Coturnix japonica: one gene and its partner. The protein of the gene in region 1 interacts with the protein of each later gene in a pairwise test. Links are inferred from orthologs where the notes say so. Each region holds a gene or a part of one and is shown on either strand. Other genes may lie near its edges. The genes, in order: SERGEF and DPH3.

Evidence for each region.
Region 2: the proteins of SERGEF (region 1) and DPH3 interact in binary tests that used the Homo sapiens proteins (3 or more experiments, as listed by UniProt). The link is inferred for Coturnix japonica from reciprocal best matches to the Homo sapiens genes SERGEF and DPH3.

What each region holds. Positions count from the first base shown.
Region 1 is NC_029520.1:16,909,903-16,922,055, reverse strand, and holds the start of SERGEF (secretion-regulating guanine nucleotide exchange factor), read right to left. Parts: upstream 5,639-12,153; 5' UTR 5,564-5,638; coding exon 5,540-5,563; intron 4,476-5,539; coding exon 4,337-4,475; intron 3,698-4,336; coding exon 3,542-3,697; intron 3,272-3,541; coding exon 3,177-3,271; intron 2,270-3,176; coding exon 2,209-2,269; intron 1,901-2,208; coding exon 1,787-1,900; intron 1,486-1,786; coding exon 1,429-1,485; intron 1-1,428. Other genes in the region: TPH1 (tryptophan 5-hydroxylase 1), read right to left, coding at 6,772-6,946, 7,248-7,381, 7,592-7,687, 8,568-8,694, 9,159-9,294, 9,806-10,002, 11,490-11,557. UniProt on the Homo sapiens protein: Probable guanine nucleotide exchange factor (GEF), which may be involved in the secretion process.
Region 2 is NC_029517.1:31,392,967-31,404,786, forward strand, and holds DPH3 (DPH3 homolog), read right to left. Parts: upstream 7,163-11,820; 5' UTR 7,142-7,162; coding exon 7,034-7,141; intron 6,934-7,033; coding exon 6,859-6,933; intron 5,964-6,858; coding exon 5,898-5,963; 3' UTR 4,242-5,897; downstream 1-4,241. Other genes in the region: OXNAD1 (oxidoreductase NAD-binding domain-containing protein 1), read left to right, coding at 10,488-10,618, 10,884-10,947.

The DNA of each region.
Region 1 (12,153 bases):
GCACAAAGTTTTGTTCAGCTCCCTCTGCCCCCTTTATTAATTGATTTTAAAGAAGAAAAAATGTTTGCAACAATACACTTCAACCCCTTGTACCAAAAGCCTCCCAGTGACTGGTGTTTGGTGTCCCACCAGCAGGTGGCCTGTGGGACAGAGCTCAAGAAAACTGCATTGCTCAGCAAGAAATCCCTAGAAAAAAAACCCCAGTGATGCTCACTTACTAAATACTACACCTGACAGGCACTTAAATAAGCATCCTTAGAAGCTAAAGCAGGAGGAAGGGCAGCAATACCAGCACATCATTACAAGCTTTGACACCTACTGTGTTAGATGTGGTTGCCCTGTTGCCAAATAGATTGCTCTCAAAAAAAAAAAAAAGAAAGAAAGAAAAAGCATGAAACAATGATTTGCTCACTTTAAACACACAAAGTGCTAATTAGCTAAGGCAGATTCTATTTGTCCTGCCAGTTCCTCACTAATCACATACAGACTTCTCATCTCAGAACTCAATGTAATTCACATCTAATGTTTCCCCGTACAACTCCGTCTCTCTGCATAAGCGAGCTCTGCAGCGCTCCATTTGATGATGGCAGAGGTACCAGATGGCTGCATGTTTGCTAAGAACTCCTTCCGAAGTTTGGTAAAGATTTGTTTTCATACGGTTCAATATACTTCCCACATTCCAGAACCATAAGTTTACAGATGAAAAGCTATTCTCTTTCCCCATTTCTTTGTCTGCCAAGAAATAAAAGTAAAAATAAAAACAAATAACTTCTCTTACACTTTGCACTACCAGATACATAACACCCAATACAGGAGCGCTGCCTAAAGCACAAATGGCCCAAATTATGCAAGTGCTTAAGAGACAAAGCCATTTCCCCACTGCTTTTATTACACTTGGAGCTCTTACACCACCTCACACAGATGTATGTGCATGCTGTTACTGCAGAGCCAACAAAGACCTCGTGCCCACGCAAAGCCCATCTGACCTTCTGAGCTGCAGGAGGACAGTCACAGCAGCCTTTCACAACATAGCCCCCTAACATTCCTTCCCATTGGCAAAGGGTTGCACTCAGGCCAGGGCCCATGTATCCAGTCACCTGACGCAGCACCGCTGTTGCAGAGAACTATGCAAACAAGTGCTTTCATAAATCCCTGCAGAGTTTCTAACCACTAAGAGCCCAGACCCTTGCTTATTTCTAAGGGCTGTGTCATACCTGACCCCATTAATAAAATACATAGAACTCTGAAAATTTAACAAGTGAAACCAGATCTTAAGATGGAAGTCCCAGGATGCAAAACCACTACAGAATGGCTAACCGGCACTATGCCACAACACACTAATCAAGCCAAAGCTGACAGGCACTTCCAAAGCACACAACCCCCTTGTAAGTTGAGACAAGGACTTCTATGCCTGCACCTAAGGCCTACCTGTAAGAGACACACAATGGTAGGAGCCTGCAGCAACTCTCTTCACATCTTCCAGGCCTAGGGAAAATTTAGTCTCATAAAATTGTACAGAAGATGTCATTTTGTGCACAGACATGTAACAGTTATACCAAGGTATGATTGTTTGATAACAGTGAATTTTATAATGAAAACCTCTTCCAGGTCACAGATGCTAAAAGACTCAGTATCATTTTTCCCTGTGGATTATGAACTTGTACACTCATTATTTCAGATGCTCCATATTTATGATACCAAGCAGCTTTATAAACAGAAACATTACATATCACTGCAAAACATATTTCAGCTCTATCGCCTTGACAAAGTCAGACTCCAGAATTACCTTTTATTTCACAGGGTTCCTTTGCAGTCCAGAACAGAGGGAGAGTTTTCCCCTGGTGCGCACGCTTTGCCCGAGATGCCATGCCAGTTCCCCACTGAAACACCAAACCACTCTCTTCCCAGAGTGAACACACAGAGATTAAAACACAATAACCACCAATAAAATAACTTAAGTGAATAATTAATTAGTTTTAAAGGCACATTCACTGGTTCAAATTGTGCTTTGCATGCTCTTTGTGCCAAAACCAGACTTTACCAGGGTTATCCTTCTAGGCAACAACTATAGTCTCATTGCACAAGTGCAAATAGAAGCTAAAATTCACCCTTATTTTCTTTGCTCCCCAACTAAGCCATTAAAACACCAGGCATTAAAAGTACTCTTCATTTGTTCCAGAAATGAGAAAACAAAGATAACATATTCACCTGTAGCAGCAAGGGCATGTCTCAGTCCTGCAGCAATACTCACTACTTTCTCTTTGAGGGACTGCTCAAATAGAGGGGAAAAAAAAGAGAAAATGCTTTTCATATTTTTGCCTCTTAAAGCAGAGTATACTGAACACATTTGTGGGACACGGGGAAAACAGCTCCCAATTCCAGCCTGCATGTTATAATGCACACCAACATATTATTGTTTATTTTTAGAAGACCTTCCTTCTAATTTTTGTCAGCCATGCTTCCCTTCCATCCAAGCACTGAACAGGACACAAAGCAAAAGAGAAAATATTTCAGATGAATGAATGGTCCTCGCTGTCACTGCCACTGTTTTCAAGGCACCGCACTGGAATGACGTTCCATACCCTTGACGTTTCCAAGGAGCATCAGCTGAGGTAACCCCTACTTGCTAGAGGACCACCAGCTGTGCCTCCTTCCCTACATTACCCAGGCTGCCACAAAAAAACACAACAGAGCAGTGGATGGCACAGACCACGAGGCTACAATTCCTGCCTAGGGGTCCTTTCAGCTCTCACCTTATCATTTGCATCACATGGGAGAGTTTATCAGGTTGTAAAAGCTTTCTTCAAATAAGAAGCTACAGCGTAAATTAGGGATTAATTAGAATTCCCCTGAGAAATTTATTTACACTGTTAGGCTTACAGCCAACACTAAAGAAGCTTTTTTTGGTATGGAAGTCTCAGTTCTCACTACTTAAAGCATTTGAAAGCAAACAGTTTGAGGCTGCATTCAGAGCTCCCTACCTACAGTGGTGCATCTCCTTTCTGGGTCAAGGACCATCACTGGTTGTCTACTCTGTAAATTTACTTCATCAGATGGACTCCTTTAAAAAAGTTGAAGAGCCAGCCTTCAAAGCTCACTGAGATCACCAGACCCTTCTCATTGCTGTAAGCAACGCAATGCACAGAGCTATAGAGCAGTTCCTTCTAGATCTTTACCTCGATCTTTTGTGGAATCGAGCATGGACCTGAAATTTGAGGAACTCCTAGTTGCCCAAAAGCGTTAGACCCACAGGACAGAACAAGGCCAGCTCCTGCAAATGAAAGCATTAGAGAGTGATCACTGCATCTCTGAGCAAAAGCCAAGTATTGTAAAATTACATCAGGCAAAAACATAGTGAAATAATTGGAAAAATAAAGGCCTAACATCTCCCCTTTTCAGGTCTCCAAAGCCACAGCCTTCTGATTTTACACATAATGTTCAATTAAGGTCTGAAACTCACAAGGAACGCAACAGCAATGAGAACTCTCAGCGTGTTCTCCACATCCCCATATTCCCCCAACTCCTGCAAAGACAGACTCACCTCCTAGTATGATTGTAAAATCCCAACCACAGGCCACTTCTTGCACACAGAAGCCAGACAGGGCAGTGCACAGGGTAAAACGCAGCACATCTTCCGTGTGATTCAAACCCAACTGTCCCTCTTTGTTACAGCCACATACAAAGAGCTCTCCAGCACCTGGAATAATTAAATAAAATCACACTCAGTTCACAAAGAAGCACATATGCAATGAGATTCTGTGACAAGACAGTGATTATGTGTCATTTAACAAACTGAACTGCACAGAGACAGCTATTTCTGATGCACCAGAAACATGTTTGAGAAAGCACGGCTGTCATAAAAAAAGCATCGGCTCACATAGCAAAACAAGAACCTGTTTTCAGAAGGATTTCACACCATTCACACTTGCCCGTATCCCTTTATTCCCATAATTAACTATGGTGTATAGCAGAACCTTTTGAAGACCAGATGCTATTTTCTGCTCCTTACCTTAAAACTTCTCCAGATTGAATAACATTCCATTTGACTACTTCCCTCCTCATCCTCAACAGAGGAGGAGCAACAGTTTTGTATTAAAAGCGATTATGTCATATGGGTTTAGAAATTATCCTCACAAAGTAATTAAACAGCCACAGAAGATGAGCAAAGGAATTTCTCCAAAATATCAGGTTGATAGGGACGGGGGAATACGCTTTACAACTAAGAATCGATACTTGCTCATACACAGAAGCTACACATAGGTGGCAGCACTGCACCAGAAAGGAAAGACTTGTAGCAGCTCAAGTCACACAGCCCTTGCAAGAGCAATGTTTTTACCAGTGATAAGGGCAGAATGTCCCCCTCCTCCGGTGATGCTCTTGATGTCTTGACATTTGCAGGAAACATCTTCCAGTGACTGAGGTACCAGCACATCCTCTTTATGACCAAGGCCAAGCTGCCCGTAGCTGTTTGCACCCTTCAAATGCACACAGACAAATAACACATTAAAAAAGGAAGTTAATGAGAAGAGATGTGCATAGCTCTCCCCCTACAAGCCAGCAGCTTCACCAGGGACATGGCACGGGTTAACCTGACACAATCTGCTCCCAGAAATCCCCCAAAGGGCAACCTTCAACCTTCACTCTTACAGCCGTTACATGGCGCCCAGAACTACAGAGCAGGGCCATGCCAGAGCTGCTGCCACTAAGGCCAAACATGCAGCCCCAGCATCTTCATTCCACACAGGAACGTGCTCGTTAAGACTAAATACAGGCTAACACCTGGCAGGGCTGAATGCCTCCTTACCAACAACGAGGGCCACCTGTTTAACACTAACAGTGTTACTCATGCTAATGCCTTCCAGCAGAACGCACCAAAATAAGGTGAGAACGACAAGCTGTGTCGTTCTGGAACCTAAAGCAACAAAGCAGAAGCACTTACCCATCATTAACTAATTCTTCTACCTTACAGAGGGCAAAACACGAAGGTACCTGCCTGCTTTTACACACGCAGCACGGCAGGAACGCACCGGGGAGCTTCTCAGCCACTTGATGGTCTCCGAGATGACCACAGCCAAGCAGCACCCCGCACTGCCGCAGCTGGAGGCCGCCCCGTGGGAGCTAACCCACCTCACCTGCTGCCCCGAGTTCCTCGAAGGGTTTTTGCTCGGCAGCTCGGACCTCACGCAGGAGCACGGGCTGGCGTGGCAGGCACCTAACGCTCTTCACAAGGTCCGACACGTGCAGACCGCACGCCTTCAGGACAAGGCTCCGAACAGCAGCGGCCGCCCGCAGCTCCCCCCTCCGAAGCAGCCAACAAGAGGGCGGCGAGACACCCGGGCACCGGCTGTCACAGCCCGTCGCTCACGTTTCCCACCGCTCACAGAAGACTCGGCTCTGCAGCCCGTCCGAGGGCCGTGCTGGCCAGCAGAGCGCAGCGCAGCCGGAGGAGCCTCGCAGCGCCCACCCCCGCCCTCATTCCTTCGCCATCTCTCGGCCGCAAGGCGGGCCATGTCCCCGCGCAGCCCACGCGCCCACCTACCCACGCTCGCAGCTCCGCCTCCATGCGGCTCGTGCCCCTCCCGACCCGTCCGCGGCCGAGGAGGAAGAGGCGGGCCGGGGAGGGCCCTACATCAGCGGGAGCGGCCGCCTAGAGGCGGGCGGAGCGACGGTGCACGGAGTCGTGCTGCTGCACGTGGAGCGGCGCGGTGCCGGTCTGGCCGAGTGATGCTCACAAAGCAACCTGCCCGCACCCAGAATGCACGGCCGGCTGAGCACTAACACCTGCGGAAAGGCGACGGAGCCTTTATAAGGGAGAAAACTAATCGCTGCTCGCAGAAACACGTGCAGTTCGCGAGGGAATGAAGCCGCGGGTGCAGAAAGCCCGCACCGCAGTATAGAACACACAAGCTCAGTCGGAGTGGGCTGTGTTTATTGCTGAAGTGACGAAGGAAAGGTTTACCTGCTTCTACCAATTACCAGCAGGACGGTACAGGTTTATTTCATTGACACTTAAAGCCTTCACGACAGTATAAACATGCATATAATGAATGCTCTACCCAGCCAGGAGGGGTGGAAACAGAAGGTATGTGTGGTTAATAGTGTAAAAATGCACCTTTGCAACTGGATTCTCTGGTAAGAACCACATACAGAGAAGCAGGGTGCTATTAAATATACCCTACGCTTCAGAAATCTTCCATTTATTACACCCTCAACACACATAAATTAACTTCATATATTTGTGTCCTGGTACCCGGGGGTGTAATCATTTGAGTTCTAAACCTAAATACTTAAACATTAAATATTTCTATAATAGCACAGACTCAGAAGCACCGATTACTATAGTCCTATAGCTTCTATGCTATGAAGTCTACACTATTGTGAAATTAGCAGCACAGACCACTAGCATCAGAAAGACATTTCCCTGTGCCAAATTATTCTACAGCTGCCTCATAAGCCACTCGCTGAAGCATCTGATCCGAGCCCTGACCACAGTTTTGCTCCAGCCTAGTGATTTCTCTATTTCTTTGCTCACTTCTCTAAGGCAGCTCCAGGACTTGTTTATCCTCAGGGAATGGAGGTGAAGGAAATACATTCTGTAGGGGACTTTAAACAGAAAAATAAGTTAAAGTGAGTTAAGGTGATTATCTTTATGGGCTATCCACTCTTCCATTAGTAAAGGAAAGTTCTGCATACAAGACGTTACATGCCTAGAAAGAGACAAGTGGGGAAAAGAAAAGAGTTGCTGAGCACACAACACAGATGATGGGAACGTTAAACTTCCAGCTGCTTGCCCATCTTGCTGAGGGCATCGCTGACAATGTCCAGCTCATGACGGAGCTCGTTCACCACGCTGGCAATGCTCTTGGTGTCTTTCAGGATCTGCACGCTTTGAGTATATGGATTGTACTTCACACCAAATGGACGTTTGATGGTTTTTGCAAACTCTCTATTAAAGAAAAAAAGAGAGGAAGTTTAACCAGAAGACAAACATATCCTCCGTGTACAGTCAGTATCAGTAATGACTTTTCTAAACCGCTTACTTTCTTAGTGATCATTGTAATTACTACAAAGTTCATCATCTCTCCCATCCAGTACATGGGAGACCAAGTAAATATTAAACTCAGCTTTCCAGCCTCATGAAAGGCTATTATAAAATTATTATAAGAATGAAAGGAACTGGTGCTGCCTCTAGGAAGTCAAGAATGCATCTATAGAACAGGGAATGAAAAACAAAAACAGAAACGTACCTCATCTTTTCCTTTGCTTCTTCAAAACTTTCAGAAACAAAGTAAACCTCCTGGAAGGTTGTAATGAGACATTCTTGCTTGCAGGTGACCTTTGGATCGAAAGGCTTGACTTTGGCGCTGCCAGAGAGTGAGTGCTAAGTACCATCATGTGTTATCACGTGCCAGAGGAATATCACCACCAAAAAGAATCCATGAGGAAGATGAGATGGATTAAACAGCGAATAAAAAAAAAAGATGAGGTGAGATCATAGTGCGTTGCTTCTTAAAACACGTCTGCAGCTGAACAATGGTTTAAGCATAACAAAACTGAGTATCTCTGAAGGATAAGCAGTGGATATTCTTACCTTGAGCTCACTAATAGAAGAGAGCAAACCAGCCCCATAAACTCTTAGCTGTCCCTCCTGCTTGCACAGGCCAAACTCTACTGTGAAAAAGTAGCACTGAAACAGAGAAGGGAGTAAAATAAATCAGTCTTCAGCAAAGGTTTTGTGGTGAACTAGATGGGGGCACTTCTACTTGCCAAGTACCAAGAAGTTGCAAGTCATTACTTCATTATCATTCTCAGATATCTAAAGAGACAGGAACCTAAATAGAAGTGTGAAGAACCACAGGATTAAGTGTTTCTAATAAGAAAATCAGATAACATAGCTCACCCAGCTGGGGCAGAAACCAGTAGAAATGTGGAAATTTATTCTGTTTTGAGAAGCACTGCAATGACGTGAGAGATACAGCAAAAAAGAAACACTGGATAGACAGGGTCTCAACAAGTGAAAACATCAATCCAACACAGGTTGTTCCTTAGTGGTCTAAAAATTAAAGATGTTTAGTTTTCTGATTTTCAGGATTCCTGCAGGTATGTGGCAAGGAATGGTATTTTCTTAGATGGTTTACTTCTGCTCTCACTAAAGGTAGCAGCTTTACCACTAGCTATGACTGGCAGCTCTTTCATAACTGTAGTTCAGCGTTGAATATTATTGAAGTAATAGTTCAGTGTTTTTACATGTAATCTATATTCTCAGAAGTAGAAAGATATTTTCTGGAGCAAAAAGACTACAGAATTTCAAGCTGGAAGAAGTGATCTACCCCTTTAAGTTGCATACTTACTTGACCTAAGTGAAGTAAGACCTGTCACATCTTTCTTAAAATGTATCTTTTTCCCAGCATGGAAACTTGTTATATGTTCTAAAGCTAAGAGTCAGTGAAACAGGCCTAGCAGCTGGTGCAGTTAATGTTGAAATTAATCTCCGAATTAATTAGAATGGGATCAGCTGAATGAAGCACTAAGCTTTAAGTGGGATCACTGGGTACTGAAACACTCACCGTTGCCAGTTTTTGGACAGCCTCATCTGATGCCCCAAGTGATGCAAGACCAATTTCCTGGGAGAACTGAGCAAAACTGGGTTCAGCCAAAAGAGGGACATGGCCTAGGAGCTCATGGCAGGTATCGCTGGAAAAGAGGGGGAAAAAAATCTCATCTTTCTTTGTGGTGGAGAGAAAAAGTAGCACCACTAAACAGTGTCTTGTGTTCATTAGCTAAACAATATCCAAAATACAGAGGAGTATCAAATCAGGTTTAGCTGAAAACACACTTCTACAAAAGTACGGTTGCTCTGGTTTTCAAATGAAGGTATCTAATATTAAGAGCACAGCTTCATGTTTATAAGCCAACTGAACTTTAAACTCTGCCCACAATGACAACTGCAAGAGTCCTCCAATAACATGCTCTACTTTTGAAAACCTCGTGCTTATGAAGGTGGCACTTGAGCATGCTAAAACATCACTACATTCAGTGTGAAGACTGAAGTCTTCAGCACCTTTGAAAGTATGTTTTCTTGCTGGTCTTCATGAACAGCTTTTAAGTAGCTTGGCTTGGGCAGTAATACTCAGAAACATGAGTCTCATTCTACTCACGGCTCTGGTGTGTAGAGAGGGTCCGAGCTGTGTCTAACATACTGAGTGCAGTGAAAAACTCTGAATGCTAATCCTGCCAAGAAGTCTCTGGGTGACAGATACCCAGCAACTGGGCGAATGGTGAAACCTGTGCGCTCTACAAAAGGAGTGGAAAAAAAATATATGTTAGTTTAAAGTAGAAGTCCATAATGTTCCCATCTCTGCTACAAATGGGGTAAGTACCACAACACTACTTTGGCTTAAGAGCACATGAAAAAATTAGGCATGACTAGAAAATTTAGGCCTAATCTTGAGAATGGCCAACATTCAGTAGAAGTGTCCCTACATCTGCGTAGGTGGATTTCTTAAGATTTCATGCCTACAACCAACAGAATACAGTTAGGTATCACTTGAACCAGTCCTAAGTCTCTTTAGAGTTAGCATGGCCCCCCAAACCATCACTGCATATATTCAGGACATAATATGCTGAAATCCAGATGGCCAAAAGGCCTCTTAAATGACCAGAATTAATAGAAGCAAACATTTTGCTTTTAAGTTTCCCAGCCAAAACCAAGAATCTATCATTTTTCTTTTGTGCCCACATAGTAAAAGTGTGAATTGCAATGGACTTCAGTTCTTTTTCATGTGAGAGAAAATGAATACCCTACCTTTCAGGAAGCGGGACACGTCTTCCAGCTGGGGGATGTTGTCTTCCCTGTAGCCACAGTATTTGGTGAGCAAGGGCAAGTTTTTAAGGTACTCTCTGCAGGCATGAGTTGGGTAAAGCTTGTTAAGCTCTCGGTACACAGTCCCCCAAGTCTTGATCTCCTCCTCTGTGAATTCAATCTTGGGAATTGGGTCACCACTACAAGGAGATGAGGACAAAGGAACATTCCCTGGTAAATGGCTTATAAGGATGACTCATTTACTTACTATTATTGTTTAACATTCATATGGCTGGGACACCTGGTCAAGCTTAAGACTTCATTACACTGTCAAGTACACAAGTGAGATCTGGTCTATGCCCTGGAGAACTTTTAGGCTTGCACACTCAACAGATAGCAATCCTTGCATTGATCTCACAGGGGGCCTGAAAGCTTCAATCATATAAATAGTTTCCTAAGTGCTTATAAACAGTAACTGCAAAATATTTTGTTTTAGGAGCTGGGAATGCATCTTCTTCCCTTTAATATCTCTGTCTGTGTACAATAATTTTCCATTACCTTCTTTATTTTAGGAAAAGATAATCTCCTAAATTAGCAGCACAATAAGTGGAAGCAACTAAACATGCATGTTAGGTAAAAACCATGCTTCTGTGCAGAGGAGACGAGGGCCTGTCCAAACATACTGACTGTAGTCCATCTCTGCTAATCAACCCTTCGGATCTTGATGTATGTGGATTAGAGCAAGACTCAGATTTAAAGGCTACTGAAAGCAACTGGAGCATCATTCATTGCTTCCACTGCCAGCCAGGTAACTGCTGCTTTCCCAAGGAAAGCTCTATTAACAACACATCCACAGTAACTGCCCGCATGCTGTGGTGGCCAGCTGCATGAACACTGAGTGCCACGAAGCTCTACATATCTGCCACTTCCAGGTCGTTCCCAGTCGAAGAATTTGGTGTCAATATTCACACAAGCAACAGTAATGCAAGAAACATGTTCAGAAAAAAAAACAACAAAAAAACTTTAGCACTGGGCTATGAGCTTTAAGAGCTCCCTCCCCCAAGCAGAATCTCTAAAGACAGAAGCTCTTTGAATTCTATTTCATAGAATTCTTATCTACGCATCACATGCTCTATTTTAAACCAGGAAATAAAACTCAAGTATTAACGCCTGCCCAGAGAATTTATTCTCAGTGGTCTATGGGCTGTCTAGTGACTTTTCCTCCCCTCCTTCCTTTGCAAAAGAGATCAACCCTGACAGAGTATGCATGTCCTGGGCAGACAGCTGTGCAGATGTGCTGCCCACCCCCTTGCTTTGCTGCACCCATTTCCAGAGAACAGGGGAGAGAACCCAGTGCCTGAACACATCCCACTGCAGGAAGCCTATGCTGACATTGCTGCCTGTTTGAGGATCAGTGCTGCCACAGATACCACAACATCTATGCAGCTGTGAGCTGATCCTCAGACTGACCAGAGACCCAGGAAGCTGTAAGGTGGCCTAGATCTACCTTTTAATCTTGCATTACCTAGATCAACCTGTAAGTCTTGCATTAAATCTCCCTTCACTTTATCCTTCTAGCTCTGATTCCTGAGACAAGTGAGATCTGAGACCAGGGAACGTGAACCAGTCCACTCTGTTGCTATTCCAAAGCACCCAGATGGCTTTTTCTGAAAGAAGTTGAACTTACTGTTTGTAGTTCATAGCCAGGTCTGCAAAATACTTTCGCCTCTTACGATAGACATTGTCTTTGAAACCCTGGGGAGAGAAGGAGGAAAGAAAAAACAAGTTAAATGGCTTTTCCAGCTGTAGTAAATAAGTTAATTTAAAGCAAGATACTTGAAAGTTCTTCAGTGGTAAATACAAAAGTATGTTGTATAAGACAGAGAGGAGAGGAACCTGATAGCTGTAGTTCGAAATGCTTATTAACTGTAAAATATGCAAATACGCCAATTCAAAGCAAACATCAGAGGTTTTATGCATGCAGTATATATTCAGAAGACAAGGGCTCCTTTTAGTCACATCGGTATACACACAAACTTGGTCACTTTCTAGCTTATTTTAAATTACAAAAGAAATTGTCCTTCTGTACCATGCAAGTTCTTGCAGTAAGGAAGAGAGAGGAATAACCAAGCCTGTCTCACAACAGCATTTTTGTACCTCTGTGACCACTCAGGGCCCAGCCTCAGTCCTCTACGTGAGCAAGCCTAACAGAAAGGCATAGAAGCCACATTCAGTACCAGCCTTGCCTGAACTAGGAAAAGACATGAAACCCCCAAGAGAAGGTTCTTAGAGCCCCCAGAGGCACTGTGGGAGGGAATGAGAGAGAGAAGGATGCACCGCATGTTTTAAAA
Region 2 (11,820 bases), on another chromosome or scaffold:
ATAGCATTAAGTACCCTGTAACAGTTCCACCAAAACAAATGGAATTTGCACACCTTCATCAGCCACCACCAGGAAACTGCAGCAGAAATACGCCTCAGGTGTGAGCTGATGACACTTGACTCAGGGCAGCCTGCCTTCTTCTAAAACATGCCTGGCCCATCAACAAGAGTACATAAGAGAAAATCAGGGTTTCTCTGAGCATGGATTCTAAAAGGTTTTTGCTTTAATTAAACATTATTTTGAAGACATCAGCCTATTGCTCAGGAAGTGTCCAAAAAGCGTGTCTGACATTAAGTACTTTTGGAAAGCAGAGAACAGAGCAGAGAACAAATAGCATCATGCCAGTGTACACACGATTCACTTACCTCCTTTCCTCTCAAAAATGTGGGAGAGCTGGGCAATGCTCTGAGAAGGACAACAGGGCATGGAACAGCTCCTGTGTGGAGCGTGGCTGAATAGACAAAGAACTTACAGGGTCAAAGCATAAATGACTATGGGGAAATAAATATCTTCAAATGAACCAGTGAGCAACGGGTTAAAAAGAAATGAAAAGAGATGGTCCTCTTCAAAAAGTGTCCCTAACTGGGTAATTTCTTTCCATGGGATGCAGTGGATAATAAATTGTGACACAGATTTAAGAAATGATTAAGATAACTCATGGAAATATATATTTATTTATGCTATTAACTATTAAGCGCATCAATCTCAAGAAGTCCACGACTTAAAACAAGCATGGTAGGGCATCCTGGGGAAATGTTACCAAATGGAAGGGGAGCAGCACTGGGGATGGGATACTGGGCTAAGCAGACCCTTCCTCTGACTCCTGCTGATCACAGAATCATAGAGTCATAGAATTGCTCAGGCAGGAAAAGACCTTAAAGGTCATCAGGTCCAACCATGACCTAACCATACTACCCTAACTAACAACCCTCTGCTAAATCATGTCCCTGAGCACCACATCCAAATGTTTTTTAAAAACATCCAGGGACGGTGACTCAACCACCTCACTGCAGAGCCCATTCCAGTTCTTGACAACCCTTTCTGTAAAGAAGTTTTTCCTGATATCCAACCTAAACTTACTCTGGCGCAACTTGAGGCCATTTCCCCTCATCCTGTCACCTGTCCTCAGTGAAAAGAAACCAAACCTGCTCTCACCTAAGTACCTTTCAGATACTGGAAGAGAGCAACAAAGTCTCCCCTCAGCCTCCTTTTTCTAGACTAAACAGCCCCAGTTCCTCCAGTCACTCCTCACAGGGCATATTCTCCAAGCCCTTCAAAAGACTTGTTGCCCTTCTTTGGACCTGCTCCAGCACCGCAATGCCCTTTCTGTACTGAGGTGCCCCAAACTGAACACAGTACTTGAGGTCTCACCAATGCTGCGTACAGGGGCAGGATGACTTCCCTAGTCCTGCTCACCACACCATTCCTGATACAAGCCAGGATGCCATTGGCCTTTTTGTCCACCTGGGCACACTGCTGGCTCATATTCAGCCAACTGTCCATCCGGACCCCAAGGTCCCTTTCCATCAGGCAGCTTTCCAGCCACACCTCCCCAAGCCTGTAGGGTTGCCTGGGGTTGTTGTAACCAAAATGCAGGACTGGAAACTTTGCCCTATTGAAACTCATGCTGTTAACCTTGGCTCACCAATCCCATCTATCCAGGTCCCTCTGCAGTGCCCTTCTCCCCTCAGGAAGATCAACACTCCCTCCCAACTTGGTGGGAAACCAATGGGTGTTTTGTCTGTACCTTTGCCTCCAGACTGTTTTCCTATCTAAACGAAGAGTCAGATTCTCATTTCCAGGCAAAGGGATGCACACCAGCATCCATCATTGTGGTGACACCAGAGCAGGGTGAAGACTGAAAGTTACACTGTGTTAATGAAACCACAACTGAAAATATAGATGCGAGCACAAAGATGCTGAGTTAACTGTATATATGTAGGGTAAACACTCATGAATGAATTAGCGCTCTGTGAATCCAAATTAAACTGCTCTTTCACTTGAAGGAAGAAATCAGATGCAAGATACTAGCAGGGTTTTAAACAGCAACATTTGTTAACAGTGGTTACAATCACTGCCTTTCAGGGTGCATAATGGCACTGGTGGATGGGCAGCTGACCTTCACACACCATCCAGCACCTTCAGGGCAATCCCCTCAGCTGACTGTGCCCAGTCAATGGCACGGCAATGATTTTCCATGACATGGGAGGAAGCTCACACTGGGCTGGGGAGCTGCCAAGAATTCTGAAGAGGTGACCTGATAGGCAAACAGATGGAAACAGGGATGGTAAGGGGTGATGACAGGTCACCTGAGCTTTTACCCTCCTGGTGAGTCCCTTTTGACCCACTTCCTGCATGACAGCAGGTTACACCGTGAAAGCAGCTGCCCAGCAGCTGGGCACAGCTTCTCTTAGTTGTTACCTCCGTCACTCAAAAGGTTTGAGCAGTTCCAAGGCTGAGAAGCCAGCATCCTTAGGGTTACACAGGACCCTTTGCATCCTCCCTGACCTTCATGTCTCCTCTATGCCATGACTGCCACAGAGAGACATGAAGAAAGCAGCATCTTAAGTTACCACAAAGCAGAATCAAAGCTTCAGTCTAACTAAGCATAAAGAGAAAGCAACCCACGAAGAACTGCATGCAAAGCAAATAAAGGCATACATTTGTTTTACTGTGCTGTTACTATCTTCCTAAATCCTATCTGTAGTAACATTTCATTACACTTTCAGTGTAGCAAATACTCAACCCTGCAGCAAAGGTTGGTCTGAACTTTAAACTGAAATTAAGGAAGGATGGAAATGGGGTTTATTTAAGCTGTTTTTCTTAGTGGCATTACAGAGTTATCACCTTACTTTCTTAATTTGTATGTTGAAGGCTCATTTAAAATGGACCAGTATCTGCTTCTTGGTAGATAGACCAGACAGCCTATACGCTCATCATTATTAACATGGTGCTCTGCAAAGGAGGTCAGTTCTTGAATGGTGCTGAGAATCCAAATTAAATATTTATGATGACAGGAAGAAGTGACGAGGCATTTGCATACTGACCTTTAGGTCATTACAACCTCCCTAACATACAGGCAAATGGAGCAAGTGCAAGAGCTGAAGTTGGTGACCTACAGACCTCGGCTGTTAGAGGTCCAGGGTCTCAGTCATGGGCTTCCAAAGCACCTATTCAAAACGAATCATGTATGCCTGATAAACAGGCACAATGACTCAGAACTACAGGACCTTTTAGCTAATCAATCCATCTGCTTGTCAGATACAAACAAACAAAAGACTTCTTTGTGTCCTACATAACTGCCTTTTTGGAAGACAAGTGACCCATTGGTTCTGAGAATATGTAATACACAAGTAACAAACAAGGGGCCTACACACTGTGCGAGGGCCTGTGGTGCTATGAAGAAACCTTGTGACTGAATTCCTTAGTAAAGAACATTTCTGATGTGTTACTCAGATTGCCCTGCCTCGCCTTGTGGCATTACACAGCATGGAATAGCTGTGTGCCATCACTGGGGTCCAAAGCTACTCACCAGCTCCCAGAGAACAAAAACAGGCAGCTCTTTAGCATCACGGAGCTTTCAGAAGGATGAACTCCATTGCAGTAGAACTCCATCCCTCTGCGTAACTGCAAACAACAGCAGCTCAACAGTTTTTAAACATCTATCTCAGGCTACAGAAGAGACAGATCTCATCCATCCTTGCTTGGTTTTTGATTTATCTTTCCTTTGTATTACAAAGGGACAGTGATTATTCCCCAACAACCCGTAAGATACTGCAGTAATACCAAACTGAGTGCAATTGCTGTGGGCAAACATGGATGCATCCTTTCCTAACAAAGTAAGCCACATTTTACTGTTATGCTACTAAAAAGCTCTGAAGAAGGAAATAAAATGAAAACCCCAATAAAGCACTGATACACACTACATAAAACAACAGTAACACATACAGAAACAGCATCATACAACTTGTGTATAATACGCTCATCACAAAACCTTAAGCACTGACAGTCCTGAACTGACGTAACAATTTTCCTATAGTCAGAAAAGCTCTGATCTGTATTTTAGAGCAATGGTGAATGCTACAGAAAATAATTTCAGAGCTTGTATTAGGACACACCAAATCAAATACAGCCGATACTTCTGAGTACACATCCCCTAGTGTTCCTTTTTAACTTTAACACGGTTTTACCTGGAAAACCTCTGGAAAACAAAGCAGCTGTAGTTCGAATGGCAGCTTAAATGGGGTTCCTGCATTTATTGATAGACTAAAAACCACTTATTTTCAGCCAGCCTGGAAAGATTTTGGCATTACAACCGCAGCAGAAACTCAGCACCTTCAGAAATCATTGTGACTGGTGCACAAGCAGAGGAAGTAACAGCCCATTATAATCACTGGTGTAGCTTCAAACATTTTTATTTAAGCATAAGTCAAAATAAATATTTATAGCTAACCAAATTTCCCCAGCACTTTGTGGAGCACAGACATTTAAGTCCCAGGAGCGACACCTGGTGGTTACGTACAGAAACAACGCGGGTTGTGCATGTTGCCTTCAAAACTTCCTGTTGCAGGGTGTCAGCTCCTGCCTGCTTTTGTTTTAAGCAGTAATTAGGTTTGTTTCCCACATTCACAGAATGTTGCAAATACAAAAATAACCAAATCCGAGACATCAGTAAGACCTGCTCATCTCTTGTGCCTGGAGTGAAAAGATGATATAAATGCTGCACAAATATTTTCCCCTAAACTTCCCGGATGTCACATCCTACTAAAACACACAAATTATCACCATTTAAAATAAGTATTTAAGTGCAGTGGGCTGTGATTCAAGAAGTCTTGGAACCAAGGTACTTTGGAGCACATTCTTGCAACTTTCTTCTGTCCTAAAAACGTTCCTTTTCATTATTGAATAAAGTGAACAGTCTGCCAGGAAATGACAGAACCCAACAAAACAAGACTTACAAATCCAGAAACAGAACAGACAAATACAGCCTGTTTTATATTTGCTGCAAGAATCAAACCACAACGTGACTGGGGGTTGGACTCGATGATCTCTAGACGTCCCTTAAACCCCTACAATTCTGTGATAATGTGATTGAGAAAATATGGGCAAAGAAGAATCCACTTTGAGTTCAATTTCATTCATCTATTACTAACTGTACAGGGGCAAAAATTGTTGCTTTCTGTTCATTTTCACACAGTGCACACAAATACAAACCATTGTGTCAGACAGCCCTTTGATACAGCTACCAAAGCTGCTTCTGCTGCAACCCAGTACGGTTATGAATCCAACTGCACTTTCCTTCCACTCACAGGAGTGAAACGATGTACCAGCAGCACAGGTTCTGGATCTCATTATCTCCCCCTACTCGGTATATGCTGGAACTATGAGGGCACCAAACCAAGGAGATGGTAAGTTGCATCAAAACTTCAGTTCTTTACAGCGTCCTACAGAACCATGGAGTCCTACTGACTTCTACATTCGTCCCCCAACATTTCAGCTCTCTGTGCTATTTCATGCTGGTATCCACCCACACTAAATATACTGAACTTGTCCGTATAGTCTAAGAGACAACTGCCGGGTAACTGTTCTAATTTCAGTGTAGAGCAACACTATACGCATCTTCTGCATATTAAGTCAAATTAGGATCGTAGTCCTGGTCTTCTAGAGTACGTATCCCAGCTAATACGAATTAAATGCTCAGCTCTATTGGAAACAAACAAACAAACAAACAACTCATTCATGCTGATGCCCCCAAAAATTTCAAGTTATTAAGACAGACAATTATTGCACGTGTCTCTCACAGCAGCAAGAACTTCCAGGCGGCGCAACGTCTCTTCCCAAAATTGTCATTCCCACACTTGCTTATGTTAAAGCAGCAACAGTTCATGATGGATTCATCAGCACTTTACCAGTTCTTTGCTTGCCAAAGGTTCTGCAATGACTTCATCGCGCATGAACTGCTCCTAGAGACAGCAAGCAGAGTTTTAGTTGGCTTTTATTTTTGTCTCGGATCTCCTCTTCCTCAGGAATGCATCAAATAACCATTTTGTTTTCTAGTCTGGGTGTAACTGGCACAAAATTTTCTCCCCAAAGATCAAAGTATGGCTTCAGTTGGAAAGGACCTTAGAAGCCCCCCCAGTTCCAACCCCCTGCTTTGGGCAGAGATGCCAACCACTAAGATCAGGCTTCCCAGGGCACAACCCAACCTGGCCATGTCACCTTCACAGATGGGGCACCCACAGCTCCTCTGGGCAGCCTGTAGCACTGCCCCACCAGCCCATGAATGATAAAATTCTCCTTAACATCTAACCCAGATCTCCTCTCCTATATTTTAAAGCCAGTCCCCCTGATCCTATCGCTATCAGACTGTGTAAACAGGAAGGTTGTTTTATTTTGTTTTGAAATAAGCTTCCTTTAGGTACTTTATGACCACAATAAGGCCTCCCCCCAGCCTTCTCTTCTCCAGGCTGAGCAGGCCCAGCTCCCACAGCCCGTCATCACAGTGAGGTGCTTTAGCCCTCCATCATCCTTATGGCCCTCCTCCACACCCATGTCTTTTGCGTGCTGGGAGCCCCAGGCCTGCACAGAGCACTGCAGATGCAATGTACAGCATGCCCTGTAATTAACAAAAGATATTTGGCCAGATGACCACTGCTGGAGTCACGGGGACTGTTTTGCCTGCATTTCATTCCAGCACGTTCCAAAGGCACAACAGGAGACGCGGGGGACCAGGAAAACAATTAGGATAGGAGACAAAAGGAAAGGCCACCGGCTGCCCACCAGCCACATCCCGTTTTTCTATGAGACCTTTATAAACAACCACGGCACCTTCCTCAGGAATGAGGAGCCCGCACTCACCTGGTCGTAGATGACTCGCAGGATGAGGGAGCAGCTGGGGCAGGTGGCCACGTCCTCCCCGTTCTCCAGGTCCTCCTGCAACAGCCCCACGGGACACGGTCACGGACCGGGACACGGTCACACACGGGCCCACACTCCCTAAGGCCGCCTCCCCCTCCCCGCCCCCCGCCGTTACCCGCGTGATGAGGAAGCGGTCCCCGCAGGGACACGGGTAGCTGTACGTTTCCGTCTCCTCGTCGTACTCGAAGTCTTCGATCTCCACCTCATCGTGGAACACCGCCATGACTCCGGCATGCAACGGGGACGAAACGGAAGGAGAGGGGACGAACTTCCGCGCGACGGCGGCGCTGTGGGTGACGTGAGGCGGTGCCGGTACGGGCTGTGGGGCGGCATGGCGGCGGTGCCCCCTATGGCCGGTGTCCGATGGGGGCACGGCCTAACGGGAGGCGGCGGGGATGGGGGCCTGTGGTGTGTGTGGATCGGAGGGAAAGCGCTTCGCCTTTGGGGTGTGGGTGGGTTGTACCCCCTCGTTGCTCTCAGCCTGGCTCGGGTCCGCTCACAGTCCGTGTCTCCCTTCAGATGCGGTAGGACTGAGGGAAGAAGAGGCCGCAGCGGTCGATGTGATGCGTTAACACAGGGCCTGTGGCTCGCAGGGTAAGGAGAACCAGCTGTAATGCGGGGACAAGGCACAGAAGAAGCGCTCATTGCTCTCAGATCGATGGAAGAAAGGGAGGGTTTGGAGAACCCTTGGTGAACCAAGAACATAAAACTGATGTACCTTTGTATTGCATTTCAAAGTTGGGCCGCATATTTACCAGCAGATGTCACTGTGGTTGGTAGCAATTAATTGCAGAAAGGGTTTTTGAAGCAAGCAACGTGCTTATAGGAGAAACGAAGGCGGATTTACAAGCACTAAGAAATACCTTTTGGCTTACTATAAACATCTTCCTAAGCTTGGTAAATGAAAGGTACTTTTGGCTGAAAATTGATAGTAGGTTGCTCTGAAAGTAATGCCTCCCTGTGTGTGTCTTTGTGGATGTGTGGTGTGGGTTGACATGCCTGAGGGCTGGGGTGTCATCCAGAGAGTCTTAGACAGGCTTAAGCAGGAGCCCAGACAAACCTCATGAGGGTTCAGTAAATGCAAGTGCAAGGTCTTGCGCCTCGGTCATGGCGACCCCCACATCAGTACAAGCTGGGTGATGTAAGGATAGAGTACAACCCTGCCAAAAAGGACTTGGCAGGCTGGTCATGAGCCAGCAATGTGCCCTTGCAGGCCAGAAAGCCAATCATATCTTTGGCTGCATCAAAAACAGCAGGGTGAGGGAGGTGATCCTGCCCCTCTTCTGCTCTGAGCTGGAGAGACCTCACCTGGAGTACTGCATCCAGATGTGGAGACCTCGGTATAGGAGAGATGTGGACTTGTTGGAGCCTGTCCAGAGGAGAGCCACAAAAATGATCCAAGGGATGGAACACCTCTCCTGTGAGGACAGACTGGGAGAGCTGGGGCTCATTGGCTCTGGGGAAACCTGAGAGTGGCCTTTCAGTATCTGAAGGGGGCAATAAGAAGTGGAGACTCTTTAGCAGGGTTTGTTGTGATAGGACAAGGGGAAATTGTTTCAAACTAAAGGAGAGGGGAGATTCAGGTTGAATACGAGGAAGAAATCTTTTATGATAAGGGTGGTGGAGTACTGGAATAGATTGCCCAGATTGGTGGTAGAATCCCCATCCCTGGAGACATTTAAGGTCAGGCTGGATGGGAAGCAACCTCATCCAGCTGTAGGTATTGCTGTTCATGGGAGGAGAGTGGATCTGGATGACCTTTAATCGTGAATCACAGATGTTGGAAAAGATCTCCAAAATCATCCAGTCCAAACGTCCACCTACCACCAATATTTTCCCCACTAAACCATGTCCCTTAGTACATCTAAATATGTCTTGAACACTCAGCCATGTCCCTGGGCAGCCTGTTCCAGTGCCTAACCCCACTTTCAGAGAACTTTGTCCTAATATCTAACCTAAATCTCCCCTGGGGAAACTTCAGGCTATTCCCTCTACTCCATGTTAACAGTTATGCAGGAGGAGAAGCTGACCCCTACTTCACCACAACTCTTTTCACACAGTTATAGAGAGTGACGAGGTCTCCCCTGTGCCTCATGCAGACTGAACAGTCCCAGGTCCCTCAGCCACTCTCCATAAGAGCTGCACTCCAGACTTCTCACAGCTTTATTGCCCTTCTCTGGACACACTCCAGGGCCTCAATATCTTTCTTGTAGTGAGTGGCCCAAAACTGAACACTCTACTTAAGGTGTGGCCTCATCAGTACTGAGTACACAAGGATGATCACCTCCCTGCTCCTGCTGGCAATGCTATTTCTGATACAAGCCAGGATGCCACTGGCCTCCTTTGCCACCTGGGCACACTGCTGGCTCACGTTCAGCCAAACATCAGCCAACACCCCTGGGTCTGTTTCTTCCATACAGTCTTCCAGCTGCTCTGCCCCAGGCCTGTAGCATTGCCTGACATTGTTGTGGCCAAACTTCTGGACCTGGTGCTTGGTGCTGTTTCACTTCATCCCACTGGCCTCAGCCTGTCCAGATCCCTCTGTGAGACCTTCCTATCCCCAGGCAGATCGATGCTTCCTCCCAGCTTAGTGTCATCTGCGAACTTACTGATGGTGCACTCAGTACCCTTGTCCAGGTCATCAATAAAGATATTAAACAGGATAGGCTCTTTATACTGATCCATAGGGAGCGCTGTTCATGACTGGTTGCCAGCTGGATTTAACTCCATTCACCAGCACTCTGGGCCCAGCCCAGCCCTCCACTCATTTCTTTACCCAGCAAATGATGTACCTGTCCAAGGCACGAGCTGCCAGCTTCTCCAGGAGAATACTGCATCAAAGGCTTTGCTGAAATCTGAGTAGCCTTTCCATCATCCACCAGGTGGATCACTTGATCATAGAAGGAGATCAGGTTGGTCAAGCAGGACCTGCCTTTCATGAACCCATGCTGGCTGGGCCTGATCTCCCAGTTGTCCTGCACATGCCATGTGATCTCACTCAAGATGATCTGTTCCATAACCTTCCCTGGCACTGAGGTCAGGCTGACAGGCCTGTAGTTCTCCAGATCCTCCTTACAACCCTTCTTGTAGATGGGAATCACACTGTCAAGCTTCCAGACCTCTGAGACCTCTCCAGTTGACCAGGAATGCTGATAGATTGTGGAAAGCATCTTGGCAATCACCTTTACCAGCTCCATCAGCACCCTTGGGTGAATCCCTTCTGGTCCCTGGGACTTTGTGACAGTCTGGATGGAAGGGACCTTTAAACAGTTCTTTGATTCTATTAATTTCCATGCAAATGACAGCAGATACAAAGAGCACAATAACACTATTTGGTAAAGTGAAGTATCCTAATCTTGCTGATGGTACATTCTGTCACAATCATCCAAGTTATTAGTGAAGTTAATAAACAATATCAGCCTTCAGATTCAGGGTAAACTTGGTTATTAGCCAGCTGTCTTGCTGACTTTTATATAAGCACAAGCCACGTCAGACAGTGGGTATTTTATTTAATAAGTATTTATATGGATTTTGCAGGAGCTGGTGATTCTAAAGACAGCCTGGTTATCATGGCTCGTGTTACCACTTACATGGGCTGTACTATCCCTCACTTACTGAGAAGTGCCTGCAGACTTTGTCCTGCTCAATCTGCGCTGGTGGTGTTGAGGCACTGCGCTTCTTGTTACTGTACAGCGAATGGGTAAGTCAACCATCTACTAACACTTCTAGTTTTTGAAGAGAATGTCATGAAAACACTTTGAAATAACAAATGACAAATTATTACAGGCCTGTAAATACTCCGTAACCTCCAAATTATATTGTTGCATATAACTCTGATTCAGAACTGTGCCGGCTGGAATGTACGCTGGGTTACACTGACAAATGATTGGATCAATAGAAATCCATACCAATAAGACACAGTAGCACAGCCGTCAAGATGACGATTCGTTTGCTTCTTGTTGCAGCACAATACAATCAAAAAGGAAAATGGATCACCTGGAGAGAACAGCAAATAATTTCCGCCAGGAGGTCAGTGTTCTGTTCTTTAGGGTGTAAGTTTTCTTTTTGGTGAAGAAATTGAGTAATTGTATTTGATTCATAGGCTTTATTTTCTCTTCAGATGGAGTCTCTTTCACATTTTTCCCCCTCGTTTTTTGTATTTGATACTGTTGTAAAAGTGGTGGATTTTGTGGTCAGTAGAGGAGATGTAGTAAGATCGTGCCGGTCAGCAAAGCTGCTTTGGAAACCATTTGTCTCAGAGCTGTGCTTTGAGAGCTCATGTTACAGAGCTCATGTCTGGCATTAGCACTTCCTTGGGTAGGGGCCAGCAGCCTTTCACGTGGGTCTGACGCTGCATTAGCTCAGTGCATGGACAGAGTGACTGTGTAGCAACAGGTGCAGATGCCCATTTTTGCTTCTGACACGGACAAAAGCCTTGCAGTTTTGCAACCATGTTTTCATCTAATTCTAATGGCTTGGCTTGCTTACTTTTTCTGCTTAGAAAAATGGGGGACAGCTTGAAAATAAATGGAAAGGTGATGAGAGCTCTGAGCTGGTACAGACAGCTGCATAAGGCCTGGGGTCTGAAGGAAGCTGTATGAGTTAGGAGGAAGAACTGGGCTCAGTGGATGTCGGGGGAAGTTCTTCACAGAGACAGTGGTGAGGTGCTGGCACAGACTGCCCAGAGAGGCTGTGGATGCTCCATCCCTGGAGGTGTTCAAGACCAGGTTGGATGGGGCCCTAGTCTAGTACTGAGTCTGGAGGCTGGTGTCTGCCTGTGGCAGGGGGGCTGGATCTTGATGATCTTTGGGATCCCTTCCAACCCAAGCCGTTCTATGATTCAGTTCTGTGAGAAATTCTCCGCATGTCAGAGGGTTGTTTCTTTTTTTAAATGCTTGATTT